2 linked regions of the Saccharomyces cerevisiae S288C genome follow. The gene in region 1 interacts genetically with each later gene. Each region holds a gene or a part of one and is shown on either strand. Other genes may lie near its edges. The genes, in order: HKR1 and PTP3.

Region 1 (12,025 bases):
ACATATCCAACGAATTTGCTGCATATTCTTATGTAATAGATAGCCGTTCCTAATGTGTAATGGCCTGCTTTGTTATAGAAATCATATATAAGTAGTGATTGAGCCGTAAAATCATCTCATATGCCCAATGGAAAACCAGTCATAGTATTATGAAGCATTCGCATTATTATATACCTCCATCTTCCCCTGTTATTCTGTCTTTGTATTTAAAATCATTTTTACGAATAGTGCGGTTGTCTTGGTTGATGACGTAATTCTTTGATATCTACTTATTTACGCGTTATTGGCCTTGAGTTATTAATATCATTATTGATGTTATTACTATTCACGAACAAGTTGTATAAATTTTCGAAATTATTATTATCACCATCTCCACATTGCATATATCGTTGCTCAATAAGTTCTGTCCATGGTTCTACAAATTCAAGCCCGATATCTTCACTAGCACCGAACCAATCTGTAACCTCGTCAGATAGAGATGGACCTTGGAAGAGTTCATTGTTCAGTAACGCTGTTGTGATATCGTTGTTTTGTTCAACAAAAGGATCAACGATACCTTTAGAAGATGTATCATTTGAATTCTGAGAATTGCTATTAATTTCCTCCGTCAAAGGCCTTTCCGAGGGTTCAAAAGTAGTCTCGGTTTTATTATATCCAATACGTTTAGAGAATATTGGCTTCTTAGTTAAGTCTTGTCCCTCCAGTGAGGATTCGCGATTGCTCTCTAGAGGAGTGGTGCCATCTCTTAATAAGGGTGGTCGTTCTAAGTAAGATTTTTTTCGAAGTTTCATCTCTGTACATAAGTACATTAATATGGCTGCGTATCTTTGACATAGATGTAATTCATCTGGTGTAGCTTCTTTCAAAGTAACCGCAGTGTCACGGATGATATCGAATGTTTCGTCAACCGATATTGCACTTAATTTTAAAATGTTTCTGGCATCTGGATTTGTTGCCAGTTCACTACCAGTAAGTGTTAGGTAGCATTTTACTATGAACGCAATGGATCTAATTATTCGTATTACCCATCTTACGGGCATGTATTTTAGCATTCCTTGCCTTGAAACTCGCTTTGCAGAACTCAATATTTCTTTTGCAGATCTGTATGCTAATTCCACATACCTCGCGCTTGTCACAATTTCATTCATATTCAATCTGCTTGTTTTCCCATCCACTTGCAGTGCGAGGGAAAAGATATAAAGTTGACAATAATTGAAATCTGTGATAATACTTTCACCATTTATTCTATCGATGTTATCAAATATTTGTTTTTTGTTCTTCCTATCTGCTAGTGAGAAAGGGACATCAGAAAGGGGTACAAGAAGCTCTCTGTAGTTACTGAGCCAGCCCTCTATCAAGGGAGAAAAAACACTTAGGACAGAGAGGTTGTGTCTCTGATCTGTCGTTGCCAATTTCCTCTTATTCTTCTCACAGTAAATCGTCTCATATGCTATGGATAGGATTCGAATGATCTCTATTTTTGCTCTTTGGGCGAATGAGAATCTTAGTGGAAATGGTGGTATGTGATTCTGTGCTAGATTAGTATCATCTTTTTTATTAGAATAATATAGAACATACTCATCGTTTAAAAACTCCCTCTCCCAATCAGTCAAAAAATTTTTCTCGTTGTCGTGGTCATTTTCTGAGTTTTCAAAAACTCTCTTCCACCTTAGTTTACTTTCTTCATCAGGCAAAATCTCATTCAGATAAAATTTTTCATTCCCAAGGTAATCCTCATTGCTTTCATTTCCATCGTTTTCAATTTTTCCTAAATTCAAGTTTAAAACGCTGAATGATTCTGCTAATAAGGATCTTTGATTCATATTCATAGCACTGGTAGTCTCAGATATATGAGTGACAATGAATACTTTTGAGCTGTTTTCAATGAATCCCATATCTTGCGCCAGCCTTACTGCAGACCCTGTCAGCATCCATGACATTCGGTCGCTTCTACGGATTGCGCCGACACCGGTCAATCCTTCTTCGTCCTTCCTCGTACTAATATTCTTACTTCCTCTAGCGTTGACATTATTTAACTCAGGATCATTTGCATAGTCAGACCATTTATAGTGGATACTCCTTGGGTTCCATTCCGTGAAAATTATGAAAGCAAGCACGGTGCCAATTGACCTAGTACTAGCCTCTGCCCAAATTGTTTGAGATATAAGCTTCTGGCAATACACCCATAATTTATCGTGAACTTCAATGTGTCTCATCCCATCTTCTCCATTGTCTAATCCTAAAGTATCGAAAGGATGATAGCGAGCAGAAACAGTCAAAATTGCACAAAACAAAATTGGATATTCTGCTAATTCTTTCGGATCATGCAATTGAAGTGGGATATTGGGAAAGAATGGGTGCATCGTGAGAAAAAATGCCTCTATGAGTTCAATCGCCTCCTCTTTAGTAAGCAAGCTATCTGGACCGATGTAATCGAAGTCGTCAATTTTCCGGGTAGGTGGAGGTCTCACTTTCCCGATTTCTTCCATTAATTGTGATGTTTTCCTATTCGTATTCAGCGTGTGGTTAAGCATATCTGCTGTATTTTCGTAAAGTGTGTTAGTACTGTCACTTTTTGAAAGTCGTTTCAACCCCTCGTCCGTAGCAGATTTATTTGTCGCATCCAAAGAACTTTTCAGTGGTTTCGGTGTTGTGGACTTCTCTTTTATGATTTCTTTTGCGCCTTCTTTTGCTACAGTTCCAGCAGCTTGGGCCAGAAACTCTAGGGCGTTCTGCATGGAGGAAAGTTCAAGCTTCCACTTCATCCCTTCTGATTTAAATGATTTTTCACTGCTAATCCCTTTTCTTGACAAAGGTACATCCGATAAAATTGGGCTCGTTGAGTCATTTTGTATCTCTTGCTTACTCTTACCTAGAGATGGCAGACTTATTGCATTAATCGAATTAGGAGGCAAGTCGTTCGAAGTTCCCTTATTAGAGCTAAAAATACATTTTTTTAGCTCCCTTTTGCAACGTGCACACGGTGGGTCGTGTGGGTTATCAACCGGACCAAGATCACATTTCACCTTCCTTGATCTGCAGCTGATGCAAGCTTGGTAGGTTCTTCTCCGTTTTGGAAGTTCAAATGCTGCGTTTCCCGAAGGCCTTTTCTTAGCAGACATAGAGGATAAAGCAGTGCTTAATGTAACCTTATTATGCGTGGATCATATATTCCCACGACTAACTTGATATTATTGCTTTAATTTATTCTCGCTCTTTTTTCATTGGTTAGTTACTATCTTCATTTATCTCGGTTATCATCGGATAGAATAGTGTACTCTCGTTGATTCCGAAAATATTAAAAAAAAGCCTTCATGTATTACTAAGAAGGACTCATAAAATTACAAATGCAATACTTGATGATATATATAATAATAGTAATGGCGTGAGCCTATGTGTATTAATGGGTATCAATTTTTGTGATCATCTTTTGTTGCAAGCGCCCCTTCCAGCAGCGTTTATTGCACAGTCAATAATCATTTTTCGCTATATTTTTGTCGTTTGATGGTTCTGTTGTTTTATAACTTTCGACATTCTCTTATAAAGTTCTTCGTCTAAAGCATCCAGCTCCTCGATATGTACATCTGAAACACTACCATTGTCGTCAATATCCTCTATTTCTAAATCTTCAAGATTAGAGAAAAGAGTCTGATTTGGCTTTGGTAGTGAAGATTCTGTGTAGCGTAATGTGTGAAGTTTAATCGAATTTGTATGAAGGGGTGTGGTATAAGCGGTACTTGGCAAACATGTCTGACTCCCTGTAGAAAACTCATTCGTAATTTGATTTCCAGTATCGGGATCATCTGTAGTACATGATTCAGTGCCTAGTCCATGAAGTTTAGTTTCGCACAAATGGTTCTTGTTATAGTTTTCAATAACTTCGTCTGGCAAGTGAAAACTGTTTGACTCTTCATTGTCAGAATAACTGTCGTATAATCGAATATCACCATTTTCATCAACATCTAGAATGCCTGATATGGACTCCTCATCATTCAAGAAGGCTTCCGTAGCATCTTGGTTTTTGTCATACACGCAGTCTCTTACTATACTGTCTATTCCCGAACCATCATCCCCATTGGTTTGATCAAAATCGAGGGGGATTGCGTCCCTGTACAATAGATCACCGTCATCATTAATGGTATAATGTAATCTGTGAATAGTATTATAGACTGTGTTTTCGCCAGTCACAATATAATGATCATCTACCGCAGAGTAAACACTTTCATTTTCAGATTCTGGCGGCTTTTCATTATAAACTTGGTTTCCAGAAGAAGAGCGGGAAAGCTCGGTACTTTCAAGTTCCCTCTCATTATTGAGGCTTTTCCCTATGCAGTTCCTTGGGTGTCTTTTCAATAATATATTTCTATGACGGAAAGCAAAAAATGCAACGAATAACCACAAGAGTACGCCAATAGTTAAAACAATCAAAAAGATGATTATTTTTACAGCATACTTTCCTGCAGATGCAGAATCTGTGAATGAATTGATAAAGTCATCCAAAGCTCCATACTTGTAAGTTCCATCTATGTTTTGGGAATTTCCTTTTGAAGAATCCAAGACGCTTGATGAGGTTAAACTAGGGACATAACCACCATCTCCAGAGCCATATAACGTCAATCCCCCTAATGGGATCCCACTATCTATTAGACCAGCTAAACTTCGCAGTGGGGTTTGAGGATTGCTATAAAGAGTCGAATTTTCATCAAGGATTAATTGCTGAAGATATGTTACGGCTTCTGTTGGAAAATATACCTCTGCAACTGATACAATGTATGCCTTAGAAGAGTCTACCATGGGAACAATCTTTTTCACCGCTATTGAGGATGTGTCGACTTGTGGAGGATGTAAGTCCTCGGTTGACTTCGTGGCATTTTTTTTCTGCTGGTTTTTTTTTTTCTTGACAACTGATAATGATGATATGGATTTTGGGGAAAGGGTAGTTGTGCTGCTCCCAGACCGGTATGAAAGAATAAAAGTGGATAATTCCCCAATACTATTGTCCAGTTCTGATGAGGTGTTTGAAAAGGGATACTTCAAAACGAGAGGTAAAAAGTTGAAGATTTGAGCCGAAGATAATGGATTTTGAACCAAAAATACATAATTCAAAGCGGCCGTGAATCCGATGGTAATTAAAGTGTGGTTAATGGGTTCCGATACAGCGACGGCCGGTTCAATTGCATTGGGAAGTGAACCAGTGATTGACGGATTGAATGATGCGGTAGTGGGGCCCGTTTCGGATGATTCCACTATAATAGCGGTAGGTAACCATGCGTAACTATTTGGAGAGGGGTACGGAGTAGTAGGATAGGTAGACAAGGCAGGGGCTGTGAATACTGAATTAGTGCTTGCCTGAGTTTGAACTGCAGTCGTAGCAGGTCCAATTGAGATTTTTGTAAAAGACCGAGAATATGACCCACTGGTTTCAGAAGAACTTTTGTATTGCGTCTTTGTTGTGGTTAAGCCGGTTTCCTCGCCATTTTCGCCCATGGTTTTCGATACTTTCCTGGATAAACTTTTCGAATCAACCTTTGTATTTGTGGAGAGCGATGGGTTAGATGAAATATGTGAACTTTGTAAAGAACCTACAGAATTCCTCCCTTCGGATTTTTCAGACTGACTATTTGCTCGTAATGTTGATGTAAAGCTTGTGATTCTTTCTTGTGTGTTTGAAACAGATTTACTTGCAGGTATTGTTTCTTTTGAAAGTTTTATTGAAGATATTGATGAGGATGAGTAGCCAAATGAGGTTGCACTTTTTGACGAATCGACAAAGTTATGTGATAGTCCAGTCACAGAATTATGAGAACTTGGAATAGATAAAGAATATGCGTGCGAGCTACTTGAAATTGTAGTTATCTCTGTAGGAGTAGCGGAAAACTTTTCATTGTCTGGTTTCGCCGCGGAAGATGTGTATAGGAAATTCGAAACAACTGTGGATCTGCCACTGGTCTCAGTATTCTTGTTCGCCGTATCGTATGGATTTTTTGTACTGCTAGACAGCTGGCTCTGTAGTGAACTAATTTTAGCTGAGTTTTTGGGGCTTGTTATGCTTGCTTGGGTCGATGAAATTATCAGAGAAGTTTCAACCAAATTCGAAGCTGAAGGGTTGAAAACGGAAAGCGCGCTTGAATGTATTTCGTCATTTAAAGTTGAGCTTGTAGAAATTTGCTGAGAGACTATACTTTGGATTGCCATCGAAGTCTGCAGTAAGAAATCCGTAATCCTGGACAATGTGCTATGTATTTGAGTTGGTGCTATTGTGGATGTTGTTGAGTACCGCTCAGAAGAAAATTCAAACGCATAAGCAGATGAAAAGTATGTGTAAGTAGAAGAGGTGGGTAAAGAAGTAGATGGGGAAGGTGAAAATTCATATGTAGCAATGGACGATCTGGAAGCAGAAGATGATAGAGAGTAAACAATATCATATGGAGAGGATGAGGAAGTAGATGACATGGCGACAGAAGCAGAAGGTGAAGGCGTGTAACCGGATGATATGGCAGCAAAAGTTGATGGAGAGTAAACAATATCATATGGAGAGGATGTGGAAGTAGATGACAGGACAACAAGAGCCGATGGTGAAGACGTGTACGTCGAGGATACTGCAACAGGTGCCGATGGTGAAGACGTGTACGTTGAGGATATTGCAGCAGGTGCTGATGGTGAAGACGTGTACGTCGAGGATACTGCAACGGGTGCCGATGGTGAAGACGTGTACGTTGAGGATATTGCAGCAGGTGCTGATGGTGAAGACGTGTACGTCGAGGATACTGCAACGGGTGCCGATGGTGAAGACGTGTACGTTGAGGATATTGCAGCAGGTGCTGATGGTGAAGACGTGTACGTCGAGGATACTGCAACGGGTACTGATGGTGAAGACGTGTACGTTGAGGATATTGCAGCAGGTGCTGATGGTGAAGACGTGTACGTCGAGGATACTGCAACGGGTACTGATGGTGAAGACGTGTACGTTGAGGATATTGCAGCAGGTGCTGATGGTGAAGACGTGTACGTCGAGGATACTGCAACGGGTGCCGATGGTGAAGACGTGTACGTTGAGGATATTGCAGCAGGTGCTGATGGTGAAGACGTGTACGTCGAGGATACTGCAACAGGTACCGATGGTGAAGACGTGTACGTTGAGGATATTGCAACAGGTGCTGATGGTGAAGACGTGTACGTCGAGGATACTGCAACAGGTGCCGATGGTGAAGACGTGTACGTTGAGGATATTGCAGCAGGTGCTGATGGTGAAGACGTGTACGTCGAGGATACTGCAACAGGTGCCGATGGTGAAGACGTGTACGTTGAGGATATTGCAGCAGGTGCCGATGGTGAAGACGTGTACGTCGAGGATACTGCAACAGGTGCCGATGGTGAAGACGTGTACGTTGAGGATATTGCAGCAGGTGCTGATGGTGAAGACGTGTACGTCGAGGATACTGCAACGGGTACTGATGGTGAAGACGCATAGGCAGAAGGTACTACAACAGAAGCCGATGGTGAAGACGTGTACGTCGAGGATACTGCAACGGGTACTGATGAGAAAGATATGTAAGCAGATGGAAAAGGAGCAACGCCAAAGTGAGAGGAAACGGATGCAGATAAGGATGGGGAAGAATAAAGGGAAGAAGAAATATAAGTCGACGAGGAAGTCGCATGAACAAAGGTTGAATGGACAGAGCTGTATGGCACTGTATTGGTGCTTGAAGTTGAAACAACAGTATCCGAAGCACTGCTAACTATAAAGTTTGTCGTGGAAATCGAAGATACTGCGAAAGTGTTAGATTCACGGCTTACACCTTGACTTGCCTCTGAAGATGTTTCGGCAGTGGAAGAAGTGGCCGGGCGATCGACAATCAGTTCTTGGTCAGGATAGTTGCCAGCACTTAAGTCATAATATGTGGAAAGCTCTACTTCACTCATACTAAAACTATCAATTGATGTAGTTTGCGTTATGCTAGAGGGCCGGGATACTCCAACAGCCACTCGGCTGCTCTCAGAGGTTTCAGTTGACGTTGTTTGGCTATAAGAAGATGAAAAGCTGGTAATGGGGGAGCTAGATGTCTTGTCTGCAGTCGACTCCCCTCCAGAATAGACGGTTGAACTTGAACTGTAACTTTCAGAGAGCTGGGATTTGCTCATGGCATATTCTTCTTCGACTGAATTTTCAAACGATACAGTGTTGGAAAAATCTGTTTGTGTTGATTCACTACTAAAGCCATCTATTGTTGAAGCTGCCGTTATGCTGGAGATTTGTGAAACTCTGGTTACCATTTGTGCAATTCTCGTTGTTTCACTGATACTGGAAGTTTGAGCCAATGTGCCTTCTTCTTTGGAAATTTGAGAATCTGTGGTTATTATTGGACTTATTTCCCTCGGTACCGCTGAACTATCGGATGTGGATATTATTACGCTACTTGAGGATTCCGAGGAGGTTGTATCGCTATCTGACTCCGCCACGGACTTCGGATTGTGACTAAGCGTTTGTGATATTTGTGATTCATCGCTATAGGACTGCAAAGGGGTGGGTACAATGCTACTACTTGGTGTCGCTATTTCCGTAGACTTTTTTACTGATGACATCGTGTCAGAAGTTTGCGTTGTCGTCGTCACACTAATATACTGGCTGGACGTACCAGTTTCTTGTTCATCCATTATTGTTGTGCTTCCACTTTCACCATATTGGCCAGCCATTGTGGTGGTTTCAGAGCTTGATGTTATTGCATTCTCTTTGTTGCTAGATCCGGTACTGGATATCGCGGATGTTGAATATGAGGGTGTGCTTTCTATTCCATTATTGTATGAAGTTGAATATATTGTATCGTTACTATAGGCCTCGATTGCATTTAACAATGACACCAGGAGTAAAATTTTTTTTATTTTCAATGAGACCATCTTTATACATTCTCTGTTTCTGACTGTTGACTGCGTCAGTTGAGGAAAAAGATATCGCAAAAATTTCAATAATGTGGGTGCGGAATCAGTTAGTTACTGGTTAAAGAATGATAATAAAATTGATGATATGGCAATTGATTATAAACGGAAAATGTTTACAAACAAAGTTAGTGCTCTAAGTTGTAAACTTTCTCTTGATTACAATGCAGGAAGCAGTACAGCGAAATATCCAAACGAATGAAATGACTACAGGTGCCTACGAGGGACACTGCTTTTAAATCGCTGTAACTACTGTCTTTGAATAAGCCCTCCAATTAACTAATCTAAATATTCCTAAATTAGTTAAAAAAATTTTCTGCAACCAAACGGGTCAGAAAGCGAAATATCTTTAGCGCGTTGTGGAAAAGAACAAACTGCTATTAATAGAAAGTCTAAGACTTTTGATAATAAGAAACGAATACTTGAGTGATAACGTTGTTACACCTTTTAAAGAAAAAAACAAAAGAAATTGACTGACAAATTTTGTTGCTACCAAATAAAAACATTAAAAATAACGACAACTGCAGGACTCGAACCTGCGCGGGCCAAAGCCCAAAAGATTTCTAATCTTTCGCCTTAACCACTCGGCCAAGTTGCCTTAATTTGTATTGTAATCTGGTCTTCAGAAGAGTAATGATAGTGTATAACTTTTTTATGATGTATAATATTACTTGCATTATTATTCTTCAGATTTGTTTTTAAACAGCGTTACTTTGTAACATGAGATTGTGTGTATCAAACCAATTCCTGCTTTAAACGCATCTAATTGATTAAGTCCCCTGAACAATCAGCTGAGGTCAGAGATCATGCTTCCAGCATTCATTATCACATGGATCTTATATATTATGAAGGTATGTAATATTCTGTGAGTCATGTCTACAAAAATAAATTATAACAAGTTGTTTCTTTTTTATAGACTTCCAAATCTCTATCAAGAAATCCTAGTATGAATATTGTACATAATGTTATCACTTTGATCAAAAGCGAAGTCTCAAAAGTCATCAGTCGGTATTTTCCGATCATAAGATATTAAAGGTACTTCGTTCTTCTTATCAACAAAACCTGGCGCCCGTGAATCATTTAGAAATTTTGGAAAAGCAATATTATCAGGACGTTTTAGTTGCTGAAGCCATATAATTGTCTATTTGGAATAGGTCATTTTTTTCTTGTAAAAAATGATAAGATGTTTTTGGAAGATGTAACTTGTTTCTTCTGAGGTGTGGCAGTATGTTGTGAGTTTGGTCTTTTCCGTGAAAACAACAATCTTTTTTCCCCGAAAGAAAGGTTTTTGGATGATTCTTCAGCACCATTTAAGCCTTCCGACAGTTTCAATGCTAAATGATAGTCTGCGTGCTCTTGAAGAGCCTTCTGGTCTGTAAAAGTCACCTGGTATTTACAACATTCCAACTTCGGAGTTTTCTCGTCAGCTTTCGAGCTGGTAGTTTTTTCCTCATCTTCCTTGCCTGCTGAGCTTTTGAAAGTATGGACCTGATTGCCAAACATATCTACAACAGTTTTTTGTAAATCTATAATATCGAAATTAGTAATTGTCATACTTAGTTTTGTTAAAGGGTAATAACTTTTGTTCTTTCCTTTAATATCAAGGTCCGTGACAAATTTTATGCCTACTTTTAGGAGTTCGTGACTCTGGAAATTGATGCCCTTGTACGCAACTGGACCTGATTTTCGATATACTTCGTAGGATTTTGTTTTTAAAGATATAGATACTGTTCTTGGTATTACGATCTTGTTATACTCCTGTTCCAGATCCTGAATCCTGGACGTAAGCTCAGCGCAGAAGACCTCAAGCCAAGAAATACAGTCCACGATGGAATTGCACGATTTTCCTCTAAGATTTTTGTTTGACATCATACTTTTTACAACAGGGCGAGAACTTAAGGGCAGACCGTACCGGCCTCTACTTAATTTAAACAACTTTTCTGCTAAATCTGCTGTTTTCAAAGGGTCGATATTGCTGGTTGAGCGATCATAATCAGATTGCTTAACTTTAGCATCTAAAAATTCCTTAAGCTGGCCAGCATTATCAGGCCACGTCTCTCTGATGTGTTTAATACTGTTTTCGTGGGGAAGATCCAATACGTCAATTAGTTCTTTGCCAAGAACGCCGCCTAAGGTCCAGAATGATGTAATTTCAAACTTTCCGCAATCTAAAAAATCTAATAAACAATCATTTTTCACAATTGTTTGGGCATCAGGTTTTTTGTAATTAGAAGCCAACTTGCAAACATTTTTGGTGCTAGACAAACCACACGAAGTAGTATAACCGAGAATATCTTTTATGCTATCTCTGATACCCTTGCATACCTGAGATCCTAGTGCAAGTATTACATCGTCCCAATCTGTGATCAGATCTCTGCCCTCTGGATTGAAAACATCGCCTTCAAACTTCAGAGACTTTATCTTTTCGGGTATAAGAGGTAGATGGGAATTTATATCATAGTTGCCCCCTATAAAAGCCTCACGAATATTGCTTAATGCATCTTTCAGTTTCAAGTCGCCTGTAAGCTCGTACTCATTATCAAACATTAGCATATTGAAACAAATCCGGCCCAAATCAAGAAATACTTCATCAATACTCGCCCTTTCGACTAGATCACATGCGCTTTTGAAAATCTTCAGCGCCTTGCGACTTTCCCTCCTATATGGTTCCAGTGATACTTTATGATCTTCCACACTTATCTGCTTTGCAGGATCCTGCACCCAAGATCCACATCCATCATGATATTGCCAAAAATCTTCTCCCTTTTTAAAAACGGCTGTATGGATCGGTATGAGGTTACTACATTTTTTTAGTGCTTCCTGAATCGTATCCATCCTTGATATACCATACTTTCTTGCTGCATAAGAGACTGCAATAATGGAATTCCACTGAACGCAGACTACCGGATCTTCTTTGCTTAAGCCACATCGCATCTGCTCAACCTGTGCAAAAAAGGCATTCATATCTATGTGGGCGATACATGCTAAGGAGGACTCGTATGCTTTACTGGGGGAACCAAGCTGAATCAACTCCTTCCAAGTAAATTTTGACATGCTTTGTCTTGTTTTATCAAAGCCGTTCAAAAATGAG
Region 2 (9,572 bases), on another chromosome or scaffold:
CAAGGTTGTTCAATTGATTGGCGCCGTACAGACATTACTGAGGAGTATGTTATGTTGATGGAGAACGGTTAAAGTTACATTTCATCAGTTTTTTCCCGTTCTTTTTCACCTTTTGTGAGAAAATTTTACTAACGTTTCGTATATTATTCTTGTAGTACCATTAATTGGAATAAATATACTGGTGATTGTTTATGAATTACTATTGGGATGAACTAAGCGTACGAAGCAAATATTACATACTACTATATACAAGAAACAGGCTCTAATAGTTTTTTTTTCCCTTCACCTTTTCGGTTTTAGCTTTATTATAAAAGATATGAACAAAACCTCCAAGGGTAGTGGTAGCATGGTATGTGAAATTAGAGAGTTCATGCATAACTTGAAATGAAAATAATACTCTGTTACGTAGCTAACTACTGCCAAATATGTATCGAAAATATCAATTATTAAGGGGTTTCGTATTAATAAAATAGAGATCAAATACATTCATATTAGCCTAACTATTGTGGCAATTCTTTCAACTTATCATCCACGAATGTCTGCAAGATCTCTAATTTTTCGATTTGTTCAATTAATGCACTTAATGATATATTGTCCTTGTTACTTCCATCACCATCCGTTCTCTCTGTTATGTCATCAAGACGTAATCTAAAGTAAAATAGCAAGCAGTCATAAATGAAAATAAATTGATTAATGTTCTGGACCATGGATATTCGTTGCTTTCTAAAAATATTAATTGTCCATGAAATTGGATCGAATAACTTTGCCGGGTATTTTAATTTAACAAACTCTTTCTGCAACATTTCAAACATTTCGAAATTGGATAGAATGGAATCAATGGTACACAAAGTACCAGTCCTTCCACAACCTGCGGAACAATGAACCAAAATGGTAGGAAGTTGGTCGTTTTGATAGTAATTTCTGGCAAATAGTGTATCTATTATGTGATTCTTGACATTGATTGCTTGTAAGATTGAGATAGGATTGAGTAAAGTGCCCAAATCAGGCCAATTTTTCACCTGAATCTGTAACAATTCATAAGGTTTCTCTTGATCATGATATGTTAGCAGAATTTTTCTTATGAGAATTGCGTCATCATCATCATCATCATCATCATCACAAGCAGCAGCAGTAACAGCAATATTACTATTGTTATTGTTATTATTATTGTTGTCATTATCATTATCATTATCAGTACTATAGTTACTACTATTTCCCTGAACACCAGCTGAATATAAACTACTATTTTGTGTTCCCATAGTATTTTTCCTCATGCTAGTAGTGCTAGGCATCTTTAATATTTTTTTTTCTAACAATTTAACGTGAATACCGTTATAATTACCTTCTTGCCAATATCGATAACATTTCTCAATGCCATTTTCGAAATCATTTGTCAATGAGAGAACCAACGGAACGCCATTATTCAATATGCATGTATAAAAGTCATGTACAGTGGAGGGCATTGGAGCTTGCGTCGCTATATAGCGCACTCTTCTTGTTGTGGTTGTAGTTGTTTGAAATGACGAATTTTGCTCTACAGAAAACCTTGGCAGAGACAAATAGTTTGCGTTGATATAATTGTCGAGGATGCCACCATCGGAAGTAGAATGTGAATGCTTGATACCTTTTGATGATTGCAAACCTTTTTTTAGAATCACTCTCGAATGCTCGTAGGGAAAAATATCCTTGTACCTGTTCTTGGCTCCTAATTCAACGCCTGATGATATTATAACGTCATCTGACTCCGAATCGGAATCTGATTCAAGGCTGAGCATCGATTTATATTTACTGTATTGAGTGAAGATTGGCTGAGAATGCGACCTCTTTTGTACTTTGTTCACGTCAGGAAATTTTGGAGGCATGATTGTTGAAGAAGAAGTTGATGTTAACTGTTCAGGATATGATGATGGCTTTTCAAGTATAAACGAGTTTTCCTTCTTCCTGAAAGAGACAGAATGGTTCAAGCGCCTTTTTTCCAAAAAATCTAATTTTTGAAACTGAGAAACCAACTCGATCTTGGGTATTGACATCAGATGCTGGAACCATTCAGGTATAACGGAGTCAATGACCTCCTTTTCGTAATTTTTGCTCAGGTTTTCGTATCTGATCTGAAACCCTAGTTTGTCTTTATTAGTGTCCTTTTCTAGAGAATTTTGGTTCTTTGGGAATTGGAAGTTTTGTAAAGATTTTTTGGCAGAATCGTTATTATACCATCTTTCATGTTCTTCTTTGATGTTGACTGCACTCAAATACGTCTCTAAACCCATTATTTCTTCATTTTGCGAAAATTTGAACATTTGGTTTATGTTTGTTTGTGGTGCAGGCAGCTGGAACTTAAATAAGGCAGATATGGGGGAAGAAGAAGACATGGGAGAATCTGATAGGACGTTACGCGGAGAGGGAGAACTGGAAAAGTTTGAATGATCTGACCTACTATCGTCAGGAACTTTCAACTTAAGGTTCATTTGCGGAGACGATAGTGGTGTTGTCGCCGTCATATGCGGCGCTGTGTTGTGTAGACTGTTCATAAGGTTTGTCTTGGGGCTTTTAGGTTCAGCCGAACTAATGCAATCTGAGTTAAATGTGTTGGTGTTTATATGGTCTGGAAATAGAATTTTGAATTGAGGAAAACCACACATTAGTATAGACACGGTTTTTTTAACATTAGTATCAAACTCTATTAGCTTGGACGCTATTCCATAACAAGGTAAAGAAACAGAACTTTCCGTTTGATTTGCGGTGCTATCATAAATGATAATCCGAAGGTTATCGATGGCCAGTTTAGATTTCAACACGCTTTGCTCGCTAGGAGTTAAGTTGTCCAAGAGTTTGGAAAAGGTGAAATTTTTCCTCCTCAGCAGCGTGGAAGGCAAACATACATGAATGGAGTTTGTGATAATGGATTTGGCATGTTCGGTAAACGGCCTAACATCAAGTAAGAGCACCTTTTCATCTGGTAAGGTTTCAATAATCTTGCCCAGTTCTACAGCAGTAATTAGCGAACAACCCTGCGGCTTATTATATCGCTGTTCCTTGGGCTTGAAGCTTGGCAGGACAGGAGCGGTCGCCCTCTTCAATAACACCGGCGAAGATGTCTTATAGCTCACCAAAGGGCTACTGGCTTTGGGGCTGTGGTATATGTTGCTGTTCATGCTGTTATGATAACTGTTCATAGGAGCATGCCTCGAATATACATGCGAACTCGATCCGACCAAAGTGCTAGTCTCGGAAAGCACTGAAGTGCGGTCGGTGGGTAGAATGCTTGGGCAGTCTACACTGTCCTTCATGTTCTATATGATAAGTAGATCTGTGTTGCTGATGGAGAAGGGAGATACAATACGGATTTTCTATGAACTTTGCAGTGATAAGAGCACCTACGCTATTATAACACCGATGTTAGAATAATATGCAAGTTTGTGGTCTGTGTATACAGTTCTTTGTTTGTGCTTGAAGTGATGATGTTACATGTCAAAGAAAGAAAACCGCTAAGGTCAATGAAAATATAGTGTTACATCCGCCGGTGCAAATGGCGAGGAGAAGATTGGACTCTTGCGCATCGAACACTACCTATCTGCATCCATCCATGCCAGGTGCGCAAACTGTTGGGTCTGGCTAACACCACATTCTCGCTGCGCTGTGTTCTCCGATGACGTTTTGCCGCAAAATATTTTTTTCATGAAGGTCTTTTCTTTTCGTTCAGCGTCAGCGGGCCCAAATCTCAAAGTCGCCGCCATTCTGTTTAATGTTTAAAGTTTCCGCTCACTACACCAAGATGGCAGCAGGAGATGCCAGAAAAAGCGTGGGGTCTGGTCTGGTTAGATATTAGAAGTACATACACATCGGTGGGTGTGTAGCAGTGGCGACACATAAAATGGCCATAATGGGGGTGATTTTACGTATAGCATACATAGACATCTGTCGTTGAGGTTCGCTACCAGTGAACGGATTTAACGAGCAAGCAGCGAAAGTAGCCGAAAACCTCTTATTGTTAATAGTCATTTAGCAGCCGTTCTGCTGCTGTTTTCCTGTGGGGTGAGGTGGGCTGTGATTCGGTAAACTCGCTTGCGGTCTAACAAAAACAGAGAAAAACTTGGTACAAAAAGATTTCATTGGACGCAACCGGAATCGAACCGATGACCTCTTCCTTGCAAGGGAAGCGCGCTACCAACTGCGCCATGTGCCCAGAATTTCTGTATGTGTTGGATCTCAACACGGGGTACCTCCGTATAAGCAATTTTAACCCGTAGATGATTTTAGAGTTTCGTTCCTACACGCATGAAAAAGGTAAGATTGAGTATGCCTAAGATGAACCAATCAAAGTTATAAATACCTGAAGAAATGAGTTTAGATCTGTTGGATGGTGAAACATAAAAAACAGAATGAGGAATAATCGTAATATTTTTATGTAGAAATATCAAGTCCATTGTAAGGATTCTAATATCCTCGAGGAGAACTTCTAGTATATTCTGTATACATAATATTATTGCCTTTATCAACAACGGAATCCCAACAATCATCTCAAAGTTCACCAAAAGTCTCAAGATCCGACTTAAATCTTATATAATATGTAGAATTGCCTGCAAAAGTGTACGATTTTACAATAAAAAACGTCGAATTAGCTTTTCGCATACGTCTCAACCAAGAGGAGAGCGGTAAAAATTATGGGAAACTCAATCGTTAACCTTGCGCCTGATCAAAACAATCATTAATAGCCATATTATTTTTATCAACTTCTGGACAGTCAATACTCCAGGGATAATAATGGGACCAAGCATCATTGGCAACTACTCTCAGCTCGGCACGCCAAGAATCACCGTGGCTATAGGTAACACAAAACGCTGTCTTGCCGTGATTGTGCATACTGGATACTGAAACACGAACTGCACATGTTAAATTTCCTTCAGAGGCTGTAATATCACAGCTACTGTTTGTTGACCACGTCTTGACAAACAAACTCCAACCCTCTTGCCCATCAAAAAAGATATTCGTGAACTCCTGGCTGCCGCAAAACTTCTTGTCACCGCTCCCGTGAACGGCCCATGCTACCCATTGCGCTATGTAGCTGTTCAAATTAGTCGTAAGAGTTGTGGAAGAGACGGCCCTATTGTACAACCTAGACCAAGTTCTTACCTCCACTCCGTAAAACTTGGCTCTACAGAGGGTAGATTCACCTGTTTCCTGGTTGCGGTTGTATTGCAGGTCTGCTGGTGTTTCCACAGAACCATCGACGGCTACATTAATGGCATTACTGATACTTATTGCCGTGACGTCATTTTGAAGTTGCTCGACGAGACTATGCTGAGTGAAGTTGGCTGCTTGGGTAGTTATATTACTGATAATGTTAGGGTATTCAGTAGCATCACGCTTGTTGAAGGACTCAGGTACAGTACCATTTGCAGTTAATCCTATCGTCTGGTAAAATTCAACCATAGAAACTGGAGCGATTGCCAAATCATCGTCCATTTGCCAGAATCCTGATGGCAAGCCCTGGCTTTCACCGCCCGTCAGGTAGATCTCAGCACGTGTGCATGCGCATAACAATAAGATCGCATAAAAAAATGAGACGGTATAGTATCCTGAGGTCATTTTTCTCCCTTGGATTGATTGCTTGCTTTTGTATCTTTCTTATAATAGTTCTTTCAGAAGAGCCCAATATGCGGTTATTATATAAGTTAAGTTACGGCTATGTGAAGATTTTGAATAATGTAAAACTGTTAGAAAGCATTGCCTCTTGTATAAGATGTGGTCGCATTACTTCAGTTAATGACTTGAACCAGTTTGTTTTTCAATCCACGGCTGTATTCTTCACTAATAAAACCGATTAGCGGGAGTCAGGGAAATAGAAAGAATATTTGCAAATGGAGCACCATTTTAGAATTAATTTTTTTTCAGTGCTCACAGGTTGATGATAATGACAAAATATTTTGTTCTTTAGAATTATTTACATATTGTTTAGAGATGAACGATTATTCACACTTATTACTATATTGGTTTAAAATGGTTAACAGTTTGCTCGAGATATCAACACAATCTAGTCTTACATAAAACTTTCTTTTTTGTCCCTGGAAATCTGGCGCAAACCCTTTTTCATAGGATTGACTTAAAATAGTTGAAGAGCGATTTCTCTTGCAAAAAAAGGTGCTAACCCTTCTTACTTTGGTTTATTTTCGTGTTGGAACAAGTAGTACAAAAATATACAGGCGAGTTGATATAATAACATTATGTGCGTTCTCATCGTATACTTAGGCACATCTCTTATACGCTTATATATAATTGCAACAGTAACAGAATAATGAAACTGTTAAAAGCAATATGTAGACAATGACGCAATTGAGTTACAGATCCAATATATACGTGGAAAATATGAGTTGTTACACTGAACATGTTATATTTACCTGACATACCACTATATTGTACTGATGATACTTAAGACGTGCCAATTGCGCGTGTTATATGAACCTCTCCTTCATAGTATAGGAAGATGTACTTTCATTCTTAATTAACACCACCTTTGAATAATTTATCATCAGTAACTTTCAATTAACAAAAAAAATAGGAAAAAAATTTGAAAAAACCTCAAAACTATGTACATATTGAAAGGAGTAAATAATCAATTTTTACTTAAAACTTGTCATAGCTGGTTTCAAGTATCAGCTCGGCCAAGTCCTCCATGATGCGCTCTTCACTGGTACTTGTATTTTCGCTATCACCCTTCCTTCTTGAGTTGCCTTCAATGTCCGCTAAATCTTCCAGTAATATTTGCTTCAGCCTCAAAAGGTGCCTTCTGGCAAGAAACTTCTTTCTTTCCGTGCCTTTTAAACTGGCTATTTCCTCACTGTCCAGTGACGGAAGCTTGATTCTCTCGGTTAAAACCTTGACTAAACGAATTCCCTCCAACGTAACAAACCGCTTGTCTTCTATGCTCGCTTTAAATTCCTTCCCGAACTCACCATTCAATAAAGATTTCAAGTATTCATCTAGTATACTTTTCAGTTCCACTGTAGACACTTTATCATTCATGTTCAGATTTTTAACGATAGGAAACAGGAACTTCCATGAATTAAACCTGTAAACTTTGCCGTTCAACTTTGATGAGTATGTGGCCTCTACGCTATCTATAAACCCCCGAATCTTGTGCAAAGTAGCTTCAGCATTTGATGCATCTTTGTTTATAACGGCCTTGAGACTTTGTCTTTGGAATGCGTTGTACACCAAAATTAACGTCCTCCTGGTTATTGAGATTTGTGCCGACGAGGCTACCCGTTCATAAATGTCCAGACACTCGTCGCCGCAAGTGATGGGCCTCGTTGTTATGACAGTTTCCATGTATTTGTGGTATATGCTCTGATCTAACATTTGGTTGTTCTGTGCCTCTAATGTCTTAAATATTTCCATAGCAAGATCATATTCCTTGTTTTTCAAACAGTAATTCATAAACAATCCCACAACATGTTTGTTGAGAGGAAATGGCTTATTGATGTTCCAATGACTTAGTGGAACTAACGTAGGAAAATCGCTTTGTGTCAAATACTTCTTGAAAATGGTCTTATCAAATTGAAAATATTCACAGAGGGCCCATAGTCCCATTCCTTGCTTCTCAATCTTTGGTGACTTCTGGCTACATATTACTTCACAGTACTCAAATAACAATTTAGAATCGACACAATAGTCTGGTATTTTATTCATCAAATCATTGAGTACCACCATAAAACGTTTCTCATCGGCAATCCTGGTACAAGATCTTATCATTAAGGTATATGTAATACTATCCTTTTTCAAACCTGGGCACTTTTTATTAAGAAGTTTGAACACTAGTGTTTCATCGGTACAATTTATCAGTGCCGCCAAAGCGGTATTATATTCTATTTCCGTGAGCTCATTTTTGTCACACAAACTATCTATAGTCTTCAAAACAAGTTCTCCGTATTTTTTTGAGACCAAATTTTCTTGTTTTGAGAGCCCATTAAAGAGGATTGTGATGGAATGTTGATCAATAGGGACTCCCCATTTTTTTCGCCAATTGAAGATATCTACAGCACTTTGTTGGGACTGCACAACTTCGATATAATATTTCATAATCAAATTCATCCCAACGACGCCTTTCTTTTTAGCTAGCCTAGCCAAAAAGACAGCTTTTTCCAGTTGTCCTCTTTTCAAAAATTTTTGAACATCATTGGCGATTAATTTGGAATCACGTAACTGTTCTCCATTGACGCCTAGTATGGTATAAAAGAGTCTCTTATCTTTGGTTAAGGATAGGAACTTCAAGTCGCTTTGGCTAGTTGGCCCCAGTTTTGTATCTGCTAATGCCTCATTATTTATTTTATGAAATTTTCGAAGAATATGAAAAGCTTGATCCTTGGGGTATGCTGTCTTTTGCAGTTTTTTCAATTGTCTTCTTTTCTTAGAATTTATCCTTTCCAATTGTTTGGATGTTTTATTTAATATGAAACCGTGACGTTCTAGCTCATGTAGTCTTTCTTTTACTTGAGTTTTCTGTAGATTTGTCAGTGAATGAAAAGATCTTCTCAGCAGATGCTCTGTGAGATTAATTGCAGTGTTTATTCGGGGTAGCATTCTAGTAAATATACAAGTGTCTACACCTATTCTTGAAGACTGCGATGACTTTGAGGATGATTGATTCAGATCCTTGGTTCTCAGCTGTCCTTTTGTAATTTTTAGACCCATCTTTATTTTGCCGTAACTAAAAATAAAAACTAAAGAGCAGTGCCCAAGAAGAAGAGGAAAAAAACAAAAAGAAAGCTGAAGAAAAGTATCTCAAGATATTTTCAGTAAATTTTTTTTTTTTTGAATTTTCCGTTTAATATTAAAAGACCTTAAATCGATAAGTTATGTATCTGTATATACAGGGTGTACTCAATTTAGCAATAACATTACAGTGGTGCCACTTGGTCCTCCTCGAATTTTGTAGATAAGCCATTTTGCATGACATTTTCTAAATCGTCAATTTCTTTCACTGCTTCAACAGTTAAATTAGTGTAAGTATCTTCACCAATGGCTATGTCATCTTCAATTCTTATTCCGACGTTTCTAAAGTAAGATGGAAATGATTCCTCGTTAGGAATATATAAACCCGGTTCAATAGTAATAACTTGTCCAACCTTTAATGGTTCGTACCTGGAAACTTTAGGCACATCGTGAACATCTAGACCTAAATTGTGTCCAATATAGTGCGGATACAATTTTTCAACATTCCAACCGGAGACTTTATCTATGCCCAAGTTTTTCAATTCCTGTTTCATGAGTGTGATACTCTTTTCATGGATGTCGTGGAGGGAATAGTTATTGCTAGCTTTACATAACTTAATGCAATCACGCTGAACATTTAATACAGCTTCGTAGAGATCTCTTTGTGCATCAGTGAATTTCCCACTATTGGGCCACGTTCTCGAAATATCAGCACAATAACCACCCAAGGAGCCAGCAGCGTCTACAAGAACCATTTCGTCGTCAAACATCACATCATCGTTTCTTGTGTAATGGATACACAAAGAATTCGAACCAGTAGCGACCACGGGGATATATGCGTCCTTATCGCAACCACCGGATAT

The links.
Region 2: mutations in HKR1 (region 1) and PTP3 are lethal when combined (synthetic lethality), as found in Saccharomyces cerevisiae (one study listed by BioGRID).

The regions. Positions count from the first base shown.
Region 1 is NC_001136.10:1,303,137-1,315,161, reverse strand, and holds HKR1 (Hkr1p), read right to left. Parts: upstream 8,896-12,025; coding exon 3,487-8,895; downstream 1-3,486. Other genes in the region: ARO80 (Aro80p), read right to left, coding at 270-3,122; RAD30 (DNA-directed DNA polymerase eta), read right to left, coding at 10,090-11,988.
Region 2 is NC_001137.3:307,913-317,484, forward strand, and holds PTP3 (tyrosine protein phosphatase PTP3), read right to left. Parts: upstream 3,288-9,572; coding exon 501-3,287; downstream 1-500. Other genes in the region: YOS1 (Yos1p), read left to right, coding at 1-44, 156-211; YER076C (uncharacterized protein), read right to left, coding at 4,678-5,586; MRX1 (Mrx1p), read right to left, coding at 6,622-8,688; ICP55 (aminopeptidase), read right to left, coding at 8,895-9,572. UniProt on the Saccharomyces cerevisiae protein: Major phosphatase responsible for tyrosine dephosphorylation of MAP kinases FUS3 and HOG1 to inactivate their activity; it also has important roles, along with MSG5, in the inactivation of FUS3 following pheromone stimulation.